Mytilus edulis: one gene and its partner. The protein of the gene in region 2 interacts with the protein of the main gene of each other region in a pairwise test. Links are inferred from orthologs where the notes say so. Each region holds a gene or a part of one and is shown on either strand. Other genes may lie near its edges.

Region 1 (7,742 bases), on a different chromosome or scaffold from region 2:
AGACAGTTGTATAGCCACTATATTAGCACAACTTACTAGTAGACAAAATATCAAAATGGACAGTGGGTCTATTGTCTATATGCATACAGATGTATTACATCAAACAGAAATAGTAGATATTTTAACTAAACCTGAAACATCTCGTACATCGAAGCTGAAAACACCAGCCAAGTTAAATACTCCATCAAAACAGAAGGCTATGTCAACACCAAAATATACTAAGATATTGAGGTTTTGCTGACAATGGTGATAGTCAAGATCATCAGATACTTGTAACTGATAGTCTACCTCCAGTAAAGAAAGTAAAACTAAAGCCTATACCGATTGCATGGATTCCTGGTCTCAATTCAGACCATAAGCAAACTATATAAAATAATGAATGGTTATGCTCAGAGATTATCAATGTCTGTTGCACAATTATTTCAAGACAATTTCCGAACATATCTGGATTTCAGCCTACAGGACTTTCACCTGTCTTTGACGATGCTACCAAGTCTTGGTCAGAAAAAATTGTTAGCTTTTCACAAAAGGGATGTCCAACTGTACAAATACACCATACTGGCAAATCCCACTGGGTAACTTCATTGCAATCAGTGGACGACCAGTGTATAGATCTATGTTCTGGATAGCTTCAGTAAGACTTTTACTCTTACACCATCCCTTGACATTCAGCTTGCTGCTATTTATGGTCACGGCAAAAAGCAAATTTCAATTAAACTCCCAGAAGTCCAACGACAGCCAAATGGTTATGATTGTGGGATTTACTCTATAGCAAATTTGCTTGAATTTTGCTTTAATGGAGGTACTTTCAACTTCAAAAACAAAACGGCTTATTAAAAATATTATAACAAAAGAAGAGATATTAATACTTGTGTCGATCAGTTCAATATATTAAAGCATATATCGGTTGAATGTAAAATCCGTCCGGTCATTTTTTTTTTATTTTTATTTTTTTTTATTTAAATACATGTATATAGTTTAATTTTTCGTATGATATATTTATTCATCTCCAATGTTCATAAATTTCAGGGACAGATATGGTAAAAAAAAAAGATATTAACACTTGTGTCAATCAATTTAATATTATAAAGGCATATATATATCGGCGAATGTTAGTTCCGTCCGGTCACTTTTTTTGTCGCTCAGTTCAATAGAATCCATGACAAGTCGCCCCACTGGCAAGTCGCCCCACTCCTAGTCGCCCCACTTTTTTACCAACTCGCCCCACTTTTTAAAAAATCGCCCCACTTGTGAAATGTGTTAAATCCCGTTAATATTACTCCTGAAAACTCGCCCCACTGAATGGAAAACGATAAAATCTAGATTAACATATTATTAACCAGGATGAATGTAGTAAAGCCAACTCGCCCCACTCATGGAAAAAGATGTTATCCCGTTGTATATAACTTAAATTCCGTCAACATTACTCCTGCCAACTCGCCCCACTTATAGAAAACGATAATATCTAGATTAATATATTATTAACCAGGATGAATGTATTAATGCCAACTCGCCCCACTTATGGAAAAAGATGTTATTCCGTGAATATTACTCCTGCCAACTCGCCCCATTTGAAAGAAAACGATAATATCTAGATTTATATTATATTATTAACCAGGATGAATGTAGTAATGCCAACTCGCCCCACTTATGGAAAAAGATGTTATACCGTTGTATATAAGTTAAATTCCGTAAATATTACTCCTGCCAACTCGTCCCACTTATGGAAAAAGATGTTATCCCGTTGTATATAACTTAAATTCTGTAAACATTACTCCTGCCAACTCGCCCCACTTATAGAAAACGATAATATCTATTCTAAATTTAGAGACAAAAGTAACCAATCTGGTAATTGCTATGATAACAAATTGCTGTTAATTGAAATCCGTTAAGTATTATGATATATTGCATTATGATACAATTAACAGGTTTCTTTTCAATTGTTATGCAAATAACTAATCTTAAAAAAATACAGTTATTCTTCAATAATACGAAAATTATTTTTAAGTGGGCGAGTTTTTATATTTTAATTCTATATCTAAATATTACCGTTTTCCATTAAGTGGGGCGAGTTGGCAGGAGTAATATTAAACATGATGTAACCAATTTCACATGTGGGGCGATTTTCTAAAAAGTTGGGCGAGTTGGTGATCCAGGTTGGGGCGGTTTTTTTTTTTTAAAGTGGTGCGAGTTGGTGAAAAAGTGGGGCGACTAGGTGTGGGGCGACTTGCCAGTGGGGCGACTTGTCCTACTTCCGTTCAATATAATCAGTGCGTACATCGTCGAATGTGAATACCGTCCGGTCAACTTTTTTTGCAGATTTTTTTTTTTTACTATAAAGTTTATATTTTCGTGTAATATATTCTTCAATCTCACAGATTCCTGAGTTTCATAGACAAATATTGTAAAACAAAAGATATATGAACACTTGTGTCCACCAGTTGAAAATATATAAAGCGTATATCGGTGAGGGTGAATACCGTCCGGTCAACTTTAAAAAAAACAAAAAAAAACACGATTTTTTGCTATCAAGTTTATATGTTCGTATAATATATTTATAAATCTCACAGGTTCCTGAATTTCATGGACAAATATTGTAAAACAAAAAAGATATTAACACTTGTCGTTGACCAGTTGAATATATATATATAGCGTATATCGGCGAGTGTGAATACCGTCCGGTCAACTTTTTTGGCTCAAAAATAATTATTTTCCCTTTTTTTTTTAATTTTCATAAAATATAGTTTAATAAAGGTCTATAAATATTTAAAAAATCTACCAAATAACAAAAAAACTATGACTATGTATATCTCGTCCGGTCAACCGTCCTGTCACTATCCGGGCAATCGTCCTGTCATTAGTGCAACCCCTACTTGTCGCTTCTTGTCACTTGTCTATAAATAGTGAGACCGCATGTTTCACATGTTCGTATCCGGGATAGTTTATTTTATACAAACAACACATTGTTTCCGGTTGTATTCTTCCAAACAAAATTGAAATTATACATTTAATATGGTAACTTTTATTCGATCTTTCAATGAATTATAACATACCTTATAGAGTGGGGTGCTCATTTTCGCCGGGGACACAATTTCGCCGTTTAAGGATTTTGAGGTGTAAAAACTTCAAAGGATGGCTGAAATGGAAGAAATGTACCCGTAAATTATATTTTTATAACAAATATAATATTTTTTTAAACTGAGACAAAATTGCGGCTCCTACCGAAAATGACCGAAAAACGGACAACGATTTTCGGACACTTTCCTGAATAAAAAACACGATTTCAAAGAAGTATTTCTAAATAAATATTTGACTGAATGCCCTAAATTTGAATTCTTTATACCTTTGAAATGTCTGCTATTCATCTATAATGCAATTGATTTGATAAAAATTGTTAAAAGCTGCGGTTATTTGGTTTTAAATAGATGTGTAAAAACGGCGAATATGTGTCCCCCATTGACAAAACATCCGGAAGTTTCAAACACCCTTTAATCTAACTTTTCAGATGATTTTCTTAAAACAAACCGGTTTTCAAGCTTAAGTATAATTTGCATTTGAAGTTATCTTCATATAGAAATATCAGTATACTTCAAAAACATTTAGACCTGAACATAAACTGTAGAAAACATGGAAAGATGTGGCGAAAATTAGCACCCCACTCGAGTCTGTTTCTCGGCCGTTATTGAAATTCTTGACAATATATTTGTATATTCCGAAGGCATACTGAATGTTTTACGGAGGGGACCAACCTATGTAAAGAAGGACAAGGGATATTCTGGCTTACTTTATCTGGAAGTGGGTGTGCCTATAAAAATCCCAAAATTTCTCTACTGACTGTGAGATGACTTAACTTGTTTAAAATTGGTATAGACGAATACTGTTACATGTAACAGGTTGGGAACAAACCCCCTGTATGGTGATTATACCTCTATAGAGGGATAATCCTTCTTCAGAGGGATAAAATTATACCTCTGTAGAGGGGTATTTTTGTTTGCACTGGATTTAAAGCAAATTAGGGCAGAATGGCATTTTCTAGTTATATTGGCTATAATCTCTAGCATTATATGCATCAACATATATATACACTTTACTAAAAATTGGGATAACCAGTTTTCTGCTAAAGTGACAAAACTTGCAATCTATTGTAAACCTATCTGAAGAATCCATGATATCTCGGCCTATAACAAAATCGGACTATAACAAACTCGGCCTCCCAAAATCGGACTATAACAAACTCGGACTATACCAAACTCGGACTACTATAAGAATATAACTATAAGTATAATGTTGATTGTTGCTGTCATTTGAAATTAATTTTCAATTCTTAATTTAAAATGAATTTTTATCTACAATTAATTATATAATTTATTTTTGAACATTTTTGAAGGGGATAAAAAAAAATATGTTAACAAGATATAAATATATATATAAAAAGAAAAGTACAAAAAAACTTATATTTGAAGTTGATATATTGAAAATTTACATCGGTATCTGGAGCACCTGTTGTGTCTGCCTCAGTTGGTTGGTCTAGAGCACCTGTTGTGTCTGCCTCAGTTGGTTGGTCTAGAGCACCTGTTGTGTCTGCCTCAGTTGGCTGGTCTACAGCACCTGTTGTGTCTGCCTCAGTTGGTTGGTCAGGGTCACGGCTGATAGTGAATGTTCTGTTGAGGTTGTTGGTAGAGTTTGCTGCTGAGATGACAGACAGGTTGAGGGTACCGTAGTCTGGTATTGGTTGGTCGGAGACGTCTGTTATAACTGTAGAATTGACTGGACCACTGAAAAAGGATAATAAGTTATTAAAGTTTTATATTTTTAGCAGATATAAGTTCATTAATGCATTAAAACGAAGACCAACATTACTTATACAGTGACATATAGTTGAACACCCGGCATCATTGATCTCTGATTGGATGGATATTTGGTCATTGGCAATCGTACAACATTTTGATAGAGATTTCTATATACTAATTAAATTTTATGTTTGAAAAAAAAAGGGTATCCACTCTTGTTGAATATGGGGTCATTGGCAATCATATAACATCTTCATGTTTCGAAATTTTATATATACATATATAATTGTAACACCAAGTTTGTTATAAAACAAATGTATCAACTTTAAAATTTCAACATAAACACACTATTACAATAAGATTTATCATACATAAAGAGTGCCTACCTGGTTGTTTCTTCTTCTTTATCATTGCACTTGGTACAGATGAAATTTAAGGTCTCTTCACTTTTCATCATCGAACGATACTCCTTCATTGTAATACCTGAAAAGTTATAACATGATTTTAATAACAGAAGTCACTTATACAACTAAAAATTATATATAATGTCAACCAAATCCTCTTTTTAAAAAATTTTAAAAAATCCATACATAAAAATTTTTTTTTTAAAAATCCATATATTTATTAAACCCTTATAATAAAATTGAGAAAGCATCTTATAAGCATCTATTATTTTTATAATACTTCAAGTATAGTCATTGTAATATATAATACACACATGTACAAATACGATAAGTTTTGCATTATAAAAAATAATTAAAATTCTGTTTATAGGAAGCTAATACAACATTTTTACAAAGAAGAAGTATCTTACTGAATACAACTTTAATTTCCTTAAAGTAAAAGAACAATCAAGCAAGACTTTTTTATCCATAGAAAGTAAAATGTTTATGAGTAACAATTATGAACAAGTCAGAATAATATATACATGTAGAAGCACTTACCAGTATTACAAACTCTGTGCTGCCATAAACTACACGAATCACACTGTAAGGCATGTTGCTTTGTTGTAACCTTTCTAGAACACTCGACGCAGTGGTCGGTACCCATTTTGAAAATGATGAGGGATTTTTTTTTCATGTTATTTTGTAGAAGTATTTGGTAAGATCAAAGAAATCTCTGTTGTTTTTTCAATTTTACTCCAAATCTATTTTTAGATACATGTATAATAAATGTTGGCCTCGGCTTGCCTTTCTAAAAACATTGTATCCGTTTGATGTGACCATTTGAATATAATTACTTTTCAATTGCTGAAGCCATTAAAAAAGAACTACAGATAAGTGAAATTGTGAAGAAGCCATTCACTGTCAATCAAATTTCTCTTTGTTTATATACTAATCATAAACACCAAGGATTAAACACAATAAAAACACGAACACACGCCAATCATTAAAATATCTTTTGTCAATACACACAATAAATCACAATGATATTTCAAATAAAAGTTAATTATCCTCATTTAAACATATCAAATTCAACTCATATAACAAATATTTAATACATTTCTATATATGGTCTTTTTTTCAAAAATATTCATTATAATCTCATAAATTCGTATATAATTTTAATATGTAAAGTGTTTTTTTTTATTAAAGTAAAAAAAAAACAATCTACTAATCGTAGTCTGAGTTTGTTCAATCAGTGGGATTTCCAGTGGCACTAGAACAATAGAAAAGTCACTCTTCTTATGAAAGAGATAGAAAAGGTCTAAGAACAGGAGAGACAATTTACGCATAAAACCCGATATGCATAGGGATGAATATCTCTTAAAACACAAAACCATTATATAACTTTTATACAACCACTATAAATAAAGTATATGTTAAAGCTAAATGTGTTAATATATGATTTTTTAATTGCCAAACATGCTGTTAATTGAACAACCTATTGTTCAACATAGGGGTGTGTAAAAAACTGCCAGATTTGACTGCATATTTTTCTTTTTTTTTGAAAAAAATATATATCAAACCTTAATAATGTAGCTTTCTGGGTATCCAATTTTTAACGTGTTCCGAAATGTAGTTTCGTCACAAGAATTTTTCAAAGTTGTGTCATTTTGTCTATATGAATGTCGGTAAATTCGTATGATCGAGCACACCGACAAGTATATCGTTGGGACAACTCGATATAATGTAATCAATATACGTGAAAGATTACCTAATGTGAAAGTTTATCAAAATCATCATAACATAATTGATCAACACATTATGTTTGAACAACATGAGTCCTACAAAATAAGATTTAAAGGTGCATATCATTTACATTCAACGTTTTTATTGGATTTTTTTTAACTACAATGTAACCTCGAGGTTCAACGTTGATAGTAAAAAAAAATCCCAGAAATTCTTTGAAGGATATTGTAAATGATATGAACCTTCGAATTCTTATAACATCGGAATAGAAAATATGTGATCCGAATTAACCATGCACGTGTGCTACAGAAGATTATGAACTTTTATGATGTACAGGGGGTAAGGGTTTTTCTTAAACAATATTATGATCCCAAATTTGATGAATTTTGTTGGCAATACTTTTATATACACACTACATATAGCAAAGTATATATTAAATCTCAATGTATTATAATTAGGAAAAATGTTTGACTCGGTAAAAAAAATCTTCCCCCTCCCCCCTGTATTGCATGTAATGGTTTAAACCTAAAGGATTCGCACTAACTGCCTAAAAGGGGTCCGCTCCAGTCTTGAATCAGTGATTTTGTTTATCATAAACAAAATATTGTCTCACACTGAAAGGGTCAGCCGGGCAACATGCACAGCCCGGATTGTCAAAACAACTAAGATTTACAAAAACGATTACAAACAAAAACCATCAGTTGGACAATCTTACTGGAATCTGATTATCTCTACTGATAAATAATGCAACACTAATGACACATTTAAGTTTTGGAATGATTTTATTCACAAAGAATGTTTCTCATTGGTATACATTTCT
Region 2 (7,742 bases):
CTGTCAATATTACATTTTGTAGTACGTCATTCAAATGGTAATAAAGTTGCATAAAATGGCTGTTCAATAATTTCTTTGGAAAAAAAGTACTTCTAAATGAAATTTATAGGAGAAATATCCAAGTACCAAGTACTAATTGCATAATAATGTATACACATGTACAAATGTATCATCAACATAGAAATATCAAATACTAATTCTAAGTGGCATACCCTTGAAATAAAGTGAATTTCTATCTCTCCACAAGTTTTACTGTAGTCAGCATGTAAATTCTGAAACAGGAATATAACAATATATCATGATAGTAGAAATTGCAATACTTGTGATATAGTGAACCCTGCATGAGTAAACTGGTTTAGGAGTCAAATTAAATATGAAATTGTACCTGAAACCAGTCATGCTAAGAATCATAACCAGGTGCTGTGAATGGTATATACATTGGGTTTGTTTGTATAATGTACTATATTTCTTATTTGTCATAATTTTTTCCCGCTGATACACATATTTAATATGGCTTCCCATGGAAGTAAATATTACTTCCATGGGCTTCCACTACTAATAGTTTCAAATAGATCTACTGTGTTTACTGTTTAGAAACCTCTTGTGTCATTATACCATTACTCTATACTTGTTTAAGTATGAAATTGTATTATAGCATGTATAGCATGTATTGAATACATTCTTCAAAATGTAATTTGAGGCAAATGAAAAATAGCATAAGCATTTTTTACTTTTTCGAAGATCAGAAGAAAAAATGTCTTAAGACATAATGTACTTCACTTAACTATTTATTTTACCTTTGCTCAAAGAATTTCGTGCTTGTGCTAGTCAATTGCAATCATAACTCATATAACTATATAGAGTTAATAATATGAGTTTAAGTTTGCTTCCAACCTTTTAAAACTATATCTACATGTAGTTTTGTCAGTCCTAAATTAAGACATGACAGGACACATCTAATTCTGTACATTAAAACTTTACCATCATATTAACCAAGTACAGTGAAACCTGTTTAAACCGAGCCTCTTCTGGACTTTTTAAAAGGAGTACAACAATGTAGGTCCGGTAAGGACCGATTTTGGCCCCAAATTTCAGGTTCATCTGACAAAAGATTTTGACCACTTTTTTAACACTTAAAGTGTCTATTTCTTTTGAATCAATTAGTTTATGTGAACGATTTTAACTGATTCTGTCATTAAAAATGATCCGATTTAAGCTCAAATATGAAAAATCTACCAAATATGCTGACAAATGTCACTTTTCAGATTGTTTTTGTCAAATATGAAAGTGGCCGCATCCGTGTTCATCCTCAACCTTTATATATGTTATGTATTATCATAAAATACAACTTACATTTCAATATTACAGATGAACACTAATGTGGCCACTTTCATTTACACGAAAACTGTCTAAAATTTAACTAAACTGCTAGAATTGTGAAGATTTCAGTAATTTAGCACGACTTAATGGTGCTATTACCTGATATATGTGCATTGTATTGTCAAAAACAGCCCATATTTATGTAGCAGAAGCATTCTACTGTCCAATAAATAACTGGAAGTTTACATTTTAACAATTTTGTAAATCTGCTATATTTTGGGGGCCAAAAAGGGGTCTTACGTGACCTACTCCTTTTGTGCAGTTTTGGCTGATGTTTGGTTTTAACAACACACATAATTTGATATGAGGGTGCTTACGGACATGTTTGGTTTATACAGGTTTTCGGTTTATACAGGATTCAGTTTAGTCAAGTTTCACATTCACTGTATAATGAAGTAAACATATAAAACATGAAATTTAGAAAGTATGTCACTTACTCCAGGATTGTCTTTATAATAATACAGTCGACTTTTCTTCTCATCTAACAAAAAATATCTACGTAGAAATTTTCCACTTCCCTCTTTTTCCTCTGCATTTAAGAAACCACAAAATTTTCCGTTCTTATCTTTGTAAGGCATTGTTCTTCATCTTATAGTGTCTGAAAGTAATGTTTAAAAACTTTGGTAAAGTTAATCATATTAATGTAAATTTTTATTTTTCATCTACTCACTATGGGCAGCCCTCTTCTATTAAATTACCAAATCAATTAACTGTGAATACATTTTTTAATTCATCATTTTCAGGACATCCTATTTCACTGGATAAAGTGGGTAAAGGCGGGGAAAAAAAATCATAGTGTACACTAAAATTTACCTTAAGCTTTTACACAGACAAATTACAAAAAAACAATGTACATATTTTCTTCAATCCACAAATATTGATGAACGTACGACTTTAAATAAAAATATTAAATTATTAATGATGGTCTTTTATTGAGATAATGTGTATAAATTTTTTTAAATGTATCCTTTAAATATAATTCATGGACATTAATAATTGCTTATCTGTCAATACATACATATATACAATGTATGTCATGTATGTGTAGTCTTCTTTTTCATGTTAAAATGCCACTGTCACTCTTATTCAATTATTGTCAGTTTGTTATTTCATTTGTACTATACTTGCCATAACCATTTAATGCAACAGGCTTTGTTTTACTTTTATAAATTGTTACTTGGATGGAGAGTTGTCTCATTGGCACTCATACCACATCATAAAGTCAAGTGACTCCAAGTTGATCCAGCCCAAAGTCAATCTGCCCCATGTCAATCCAACAGTAACGACTTGGGACGGGTTGACTTGGGGCGGGATCAACCAGAAAGCACATACTATAACTAATATCTTTTCTCTGGATGCTAGTTATGTTATCGTCGTGTCATATGTTTTCGTATCAACCACATTTCGTTTCGGTTTCGACTGCCTATACATATATTGTGGCGTGTTTATTGGTTTCTATATTTAGAACAACAACACCACTACAACTTGACAAATTTAAAACATATTCAACATCGCTTAATAAAGACGTTATCTAAGGTGACTTCCTAGAAGTGTTTCCAATCTTTGAGATTAGGAATGCCCTTAACCGTCAGGTGTCAAACTACAGCTACTGTTAGCATCAAATCAGTTAAAATTTTCCTGCTTCATCAGTATATATCCTTATCGTGATTTATCAGTGGTCTCAAATTTTTCACTGTTACTGTCATTTTTTGAAAGAATAAAAAAAAATGATTTGTCAAAATCTGTCTATTTATTGTCAAAATTATATTTGAAGATGGCATATAAACACTGAATTTAATATTGTGGTTCTGTGGTACACCAAAGAGAGCAAAAAATGCCTTATAAGGTCCATATACATGCACGATAACAATGATAACTAAAACAGTACATTTAAAGATGTGGGCCTAGAAAAACTCTACTGAGAAAGGGGCTTCTTGCAGAATATATGTCAAATGAATGCAACAAGGGTCATGTGCATGTTATAAACGAAACTTACTGTCTTTGTCACAGAAAAAGACTGTTTACCTTTTTCCTTGCCGTTTCAGGATACGGAAGTAAAATAAAATATAGGGACAATCTCCAAATACGAAAAGTTTATTTTGGAATTAATCACTTCATTATGTCTATTTTTTATTGCTCTGGGTAAAGCTATGAATTACTAAACATTTTAAGTATAAAATTATTAATTAAAGTATTACATTTTTAAGAAATATGCTCTATTTTATTTTGACAAGATCATTTCTCATGGTACACCGCATTTTTCTATGGATCTAAGCGTGTTTGTGATGAGCATAAGGGACGAAAACGTTCCACGAATGTTTTTTGCGAAGATGTAAACAAATTTTACCCATTTAACAAAGGTAAAGGATATATATATATTTACATAATACACTCATCAGTTAAACTGATTGATTTCATATATTTCAGATGTAACTGCCTGTTTTCAATGTCGAAATAAACATAAAATCAATGAATGTGTACCGCATTTCAAGCATTTGAAAAATGTATCAAGCAAGCTATAAATGTACATATTTAAAAAAGGATATTTGATACATAGAAAAAATACATTTTTTATACTTTGAGGACTGAGCGAATCAGGTGAGTGAGTGAGTTTGTATGTTTTATTTTGTTATATTGTATTATGTTCTCTCTAGCTTCAAATAAACAAATTCAAACAAAACATGTACACATATTTTTAATCACAAAAAAAATTATCTGTAAATACAAACACTCCAATTGTTATAAAATAATTTTATAAATTTTGTATAAATTTTTGTCAATCACGCATGCGCAACAACATGTATTCTTCAGTATTGAAGCCTTGTTGACCTTAAAGAAGAAGAAGAGGGAAGGTTAACTTTCTGGTAATAAGACCTGTCACGGCCTGGCTGGGGAATTGGGTAGGCAAATGCTCACATTAATCTGTACCGATACAGGCTGCAAATGCTTCCTTTATCCGCCATAAACCCCCATGGGTGACTGGGGTATAGAAATATGGTCACTTGGTCTTCTCCCAACCGGCAGTAAAACGCTTGCTGAAGTGGGGCGTCCGTTTGGCTGTGCGGGATGTATCAAGTTCGCAGAAGGGGACGTTAAATTCGATGCCTCGTGTAAAGAGAGTGCCATGCTCTTTGCACGTTAAGAACCCTTGCAACAACTCTTTGAGGGGTCCGTAGGTGGCCTGTTGCAAGGCAAAATTTCTGTCCCTATCCAATATACCCTCATTTTCCAGTGGCAGTCCAAATTTCCCCGACCATCATCCTAGATGGCCTCTATTACAACAACCTACCTATTGTATTTATTGTGAACTTGTTCTCGTCCTGAATATGCATGAAATATTTGCCACTGGATGTTAAGCAACCAACAATCAATCAATCAATTTATCTGCCATAACTCATGGTGGTGATCCTTATAAAGGATGCCTATACGGAGACAACAAGAAGAAGAAGTACATGCACTATATGATAGATAATACATTTGTATTTATAACTGTTCCATTTTTTCATACATGCACACAGATATAGTCCTTTTACATATATGACCTGAAGGCATAACAACATGTAATGATGTATTTTCTTTTGCTTAATTATTTTCTGATTTTTTTTTATTACTATAAATGTTCCAACCAAGCTGAAATCAAGGTTTTAATTGTTTTAAAAAGTTATTGTATACCTCAATTATGATGATTGTATTGATTGTTTCACCCTGAATAATTCAAAAGTTCATGGAAGTAGATAGAGCAGGTAGAATTTATTCAGGTCCTTGATATTGACACCAAGAAATTCAAGTACAGAGGTCCAATTAAAATATCAAAATTGAGAACAGAACAAACTTTTTTTCTAAGTATATTCCTTTCCCGCTGTCAATGTATGTGTTTAAACTTTACTGACAGAGGGCCGGACACCTATATATAGCTATGTAGATCCAGATGAGCAACATTGGCATTTAAAGCCTTTACATGTAGCTTGTTTAGTTTACAATGCTTTTATTGTTTTTACAAATCCTTTATATAGTTTATAAAATTTACACCTGCCATTAGTCCCAGTACAATTATCATAAAACCTTTAAACGTTTCACAATTATCAAGTAAATCCAATTACAGTTTATCAACATTTTGTTTGATGGTGAATAGTAGCCTGGGTGATTTATTTTGTACCCTGTGCCAATGATATTTGTTAAGGTGGCTCGGGGTATAAATCATTTTTTTTTTTAAATAGGATTTCACTATATTTTTTTATAAATAAACTTTATCATATACTTAATAGAAAAATGAAATAAAAAAAATGAGGTCACCGATCATTTAAGCTCACAATCTGCCTCCGAGGGAAGCATACATTTTTGTGAATGTCCTTTTTTTTCTGTTGAACTAAAAGGAGATTTAGAGGTAATATCGAAAAAAAAAGAACTCAATTACAGAAATTGTTAAAATTTTACAATTATTTAGTTTATGTACAGCTGATTTGAAAACAATAATAAAAGATATAGGTCACCGATGTCAGAGTTAAAAAAGATATTCCAAATTTGATGGCAAAAAATGGCATTTTGTACCATGTCATAAAGTAGTAACTAATAGTGTAATAAATAAAATTTGTAATGAAAAAACAAATGTTTAATTTTTTGCTGAAACTATTGTACCCGGGAGCCAATTGTACATGACCTATAAATAAGATTTTAGAACACACAGATAAATACTTGTTTTAAATTTCATGTGTAAAATTAAATGTCCTTAATTGTTACAACCTTTTGACTACCAATCATTTTTTGATAATATGTACAATATGTAGTCTTCTTGACAGTCAGTGTTAAACATAACTACTATCAAAAATGTGTAGTATACTTTACATTTTTAAACATCTAACAATCATTAGTTCTCTTGTAGATAAACAAAACATCTCTGCAGTATGTCGTTTCAATTGAATTTGCCACCCTCTGCGGTGGCAAAGTTGGCCAAAACAGAAGATGACTTTCCAAAGAAAGTGTCCAGAGAGGAATGGAGGAAACAGAAAGAGCTGGAGGAAGCTAGAAAGGCAGGAACAGCTCCAGCCATGGTGGATGAAGAAGGAAAGTAAGTTTAATTTATGCTGATATCAAGGATTCATACTTTAAAAAAATCAAGATGCTTTGATCAGAGATATTATGTAGATTTAGGTTGTTTCCAGTGATGCCAGTAGTGACAAAAATGAAGCCTCCTTTTAGATGATTTAAAAAATATTTCTTAATCTTAAGTATATTTATTCATTTTCTCCATTGTCAAATGATGCTGTAAAACATTTTGTCCAATATATATTGAAAATTCAGATTTAAAGTTCAGCTGTTAAGAAATATAAAACTATACTTTTCAGTGTAAATTGCAGGATAATAACAATATACATACTTTGAAGGAAAAATAAAACTTATTTGGACTATCTTCGAAACAGGAGTGACAAGCCTCACTTTTCTCTCTCTTTCGAAAGCTTTTAGTAATCAATATTCATGTTTTCCTACAATAAACCAGTATTGTATATATAATTTATAACATAATAAATGAAATACTTATTTGTTTTTTTAGAGAAATAAATCCTCATATTCCTCAGTATATTATGCAAGCTCCTTGGTATTATGGCGTAGATGCAGCAACACTGAAGCATCAGAGAGTTCAACCAGAGACAATGAAACCGTTATCTGAAGTGGGAGCATGGTACAAAAGGGGAGTTAAACAGGTATTTTCTAAACTAGTTCATCTGATACATGTGTATAAAAAATTCCACTCTTAAAGCAGAACATTAGGGCGTTTTATATTTCATTTATGTCATAAAATATCCACAAAATTAAAACCTCAACAAAATTTTAACCAGCATAGAACATGTAGAATTTTACAATCACATTCTAGAATCTACAAAGTTTACTTCAAATAAAATCGTACGCAAAATTACAAAACCTCGCAAAAATTATGTTTCTACAGTATTTAGTTTTCATAAAATAATCAAAGAATTGAATGCTTTTGGAACAACAAGGCAATTGTATATTCCTTTAACATATATATACACATTAAAAGGTTAGAATATAAAATGAATTTTACAGTTTTGATAATTTTGTTAAATTTCTCTCATTGAAATTGATGTGTGTATCATGTTTTTAAAAGTTGAACAAAACAATGAATGGCTGAACTAGTTTTTTAAAAAGTAAAAATTAGAAATATGTAAAGATCTTGCGATTATATTCTTTTGCTCTAACATGAACTCAATAATTTTAAAAATTATGTCATTTTATAAAGAAAAGCATTACAGATTGAGTTCAATTATTATATAACACATTATAGGGGTCCACAGCTACAAAATTTAGAAAAGGAGCATGCCAGAACTGTGGTTCTATGACACATCAAA

The links.
Region 1: the proteins of pre-mRNA-splicing factor SLU7-like (region 2) and peptidyl-prolyl cis-trans isomerase-like 3 interact in binary tests that used the Homo sapiens proteins (3 or more experiments, as listed by UniProt). The link is inferred for Mytilus edulis from reciprocal best matches to the Homo sapiens genes SLU7 and PPIL3.

Annotation. Positions count from the first base shown.
Region 1 is NC_092345.1:496,291-504,032, reverse strand, and holds the start of peptidyl-prolyl cis-trans isomerase-like 3, read left to right. Parts: upstream 1-2,945; 5' UTR 2,946-3,012; coding exon 3,013-3,015; intron 3,016-3,647; coding exon of another isoform or gene 3,648-3,749; intron 3,750-4,483; coding exon of another isoform or gene 4,484-4,775; intron 4,776-5,176; coding exon of another isoform or gene 5,177-5,265; exon of another isoform or gene 5,266-5,277; intron 5,278-7,742. Other genes in the region: uncharacterized protein, read right to left, coding at 3,648-3,749, 4,484-4,775, 5,177-5,265. UniProt on the Homo sapiens protein: PPIases accelerate the folding of proteins. It catalyzes the cis-trans isomerization of proline imidic peptide bonds in oligopeptides. May be involved in pre-mRNA splicing.
Region 2 is NC_092347.1:43,105,801-43,113,542, forward strand, and holds the start of pre-mRNA-splicing factor SLU7-like, read left to right. Parts: upstream 1-3,608; 5' UTR 3,609-3,740; intron 3,741-6,259; 5' UTR 6,260-6,281; coding exon 6,282-6,445; intron 6,446-6,928; coding exon 6,929-7,079; intron 7,080-7,678; coding exon 7,679-7,742. Other genes in the region: pleckstrin homology domain-containing family A member 1-like, read right to left, coding at 213-272, 1,818-1,958. UniProt on the Homo sapiens protein: Required for pre-mRNA splicing as component of the spliceosome. Participates in the second catalytic step of pre-mRNA splicing, when the free hydroxyl group of exon I attacks the 3'-splice site to generate spliced mRNA and the excised lariat intron.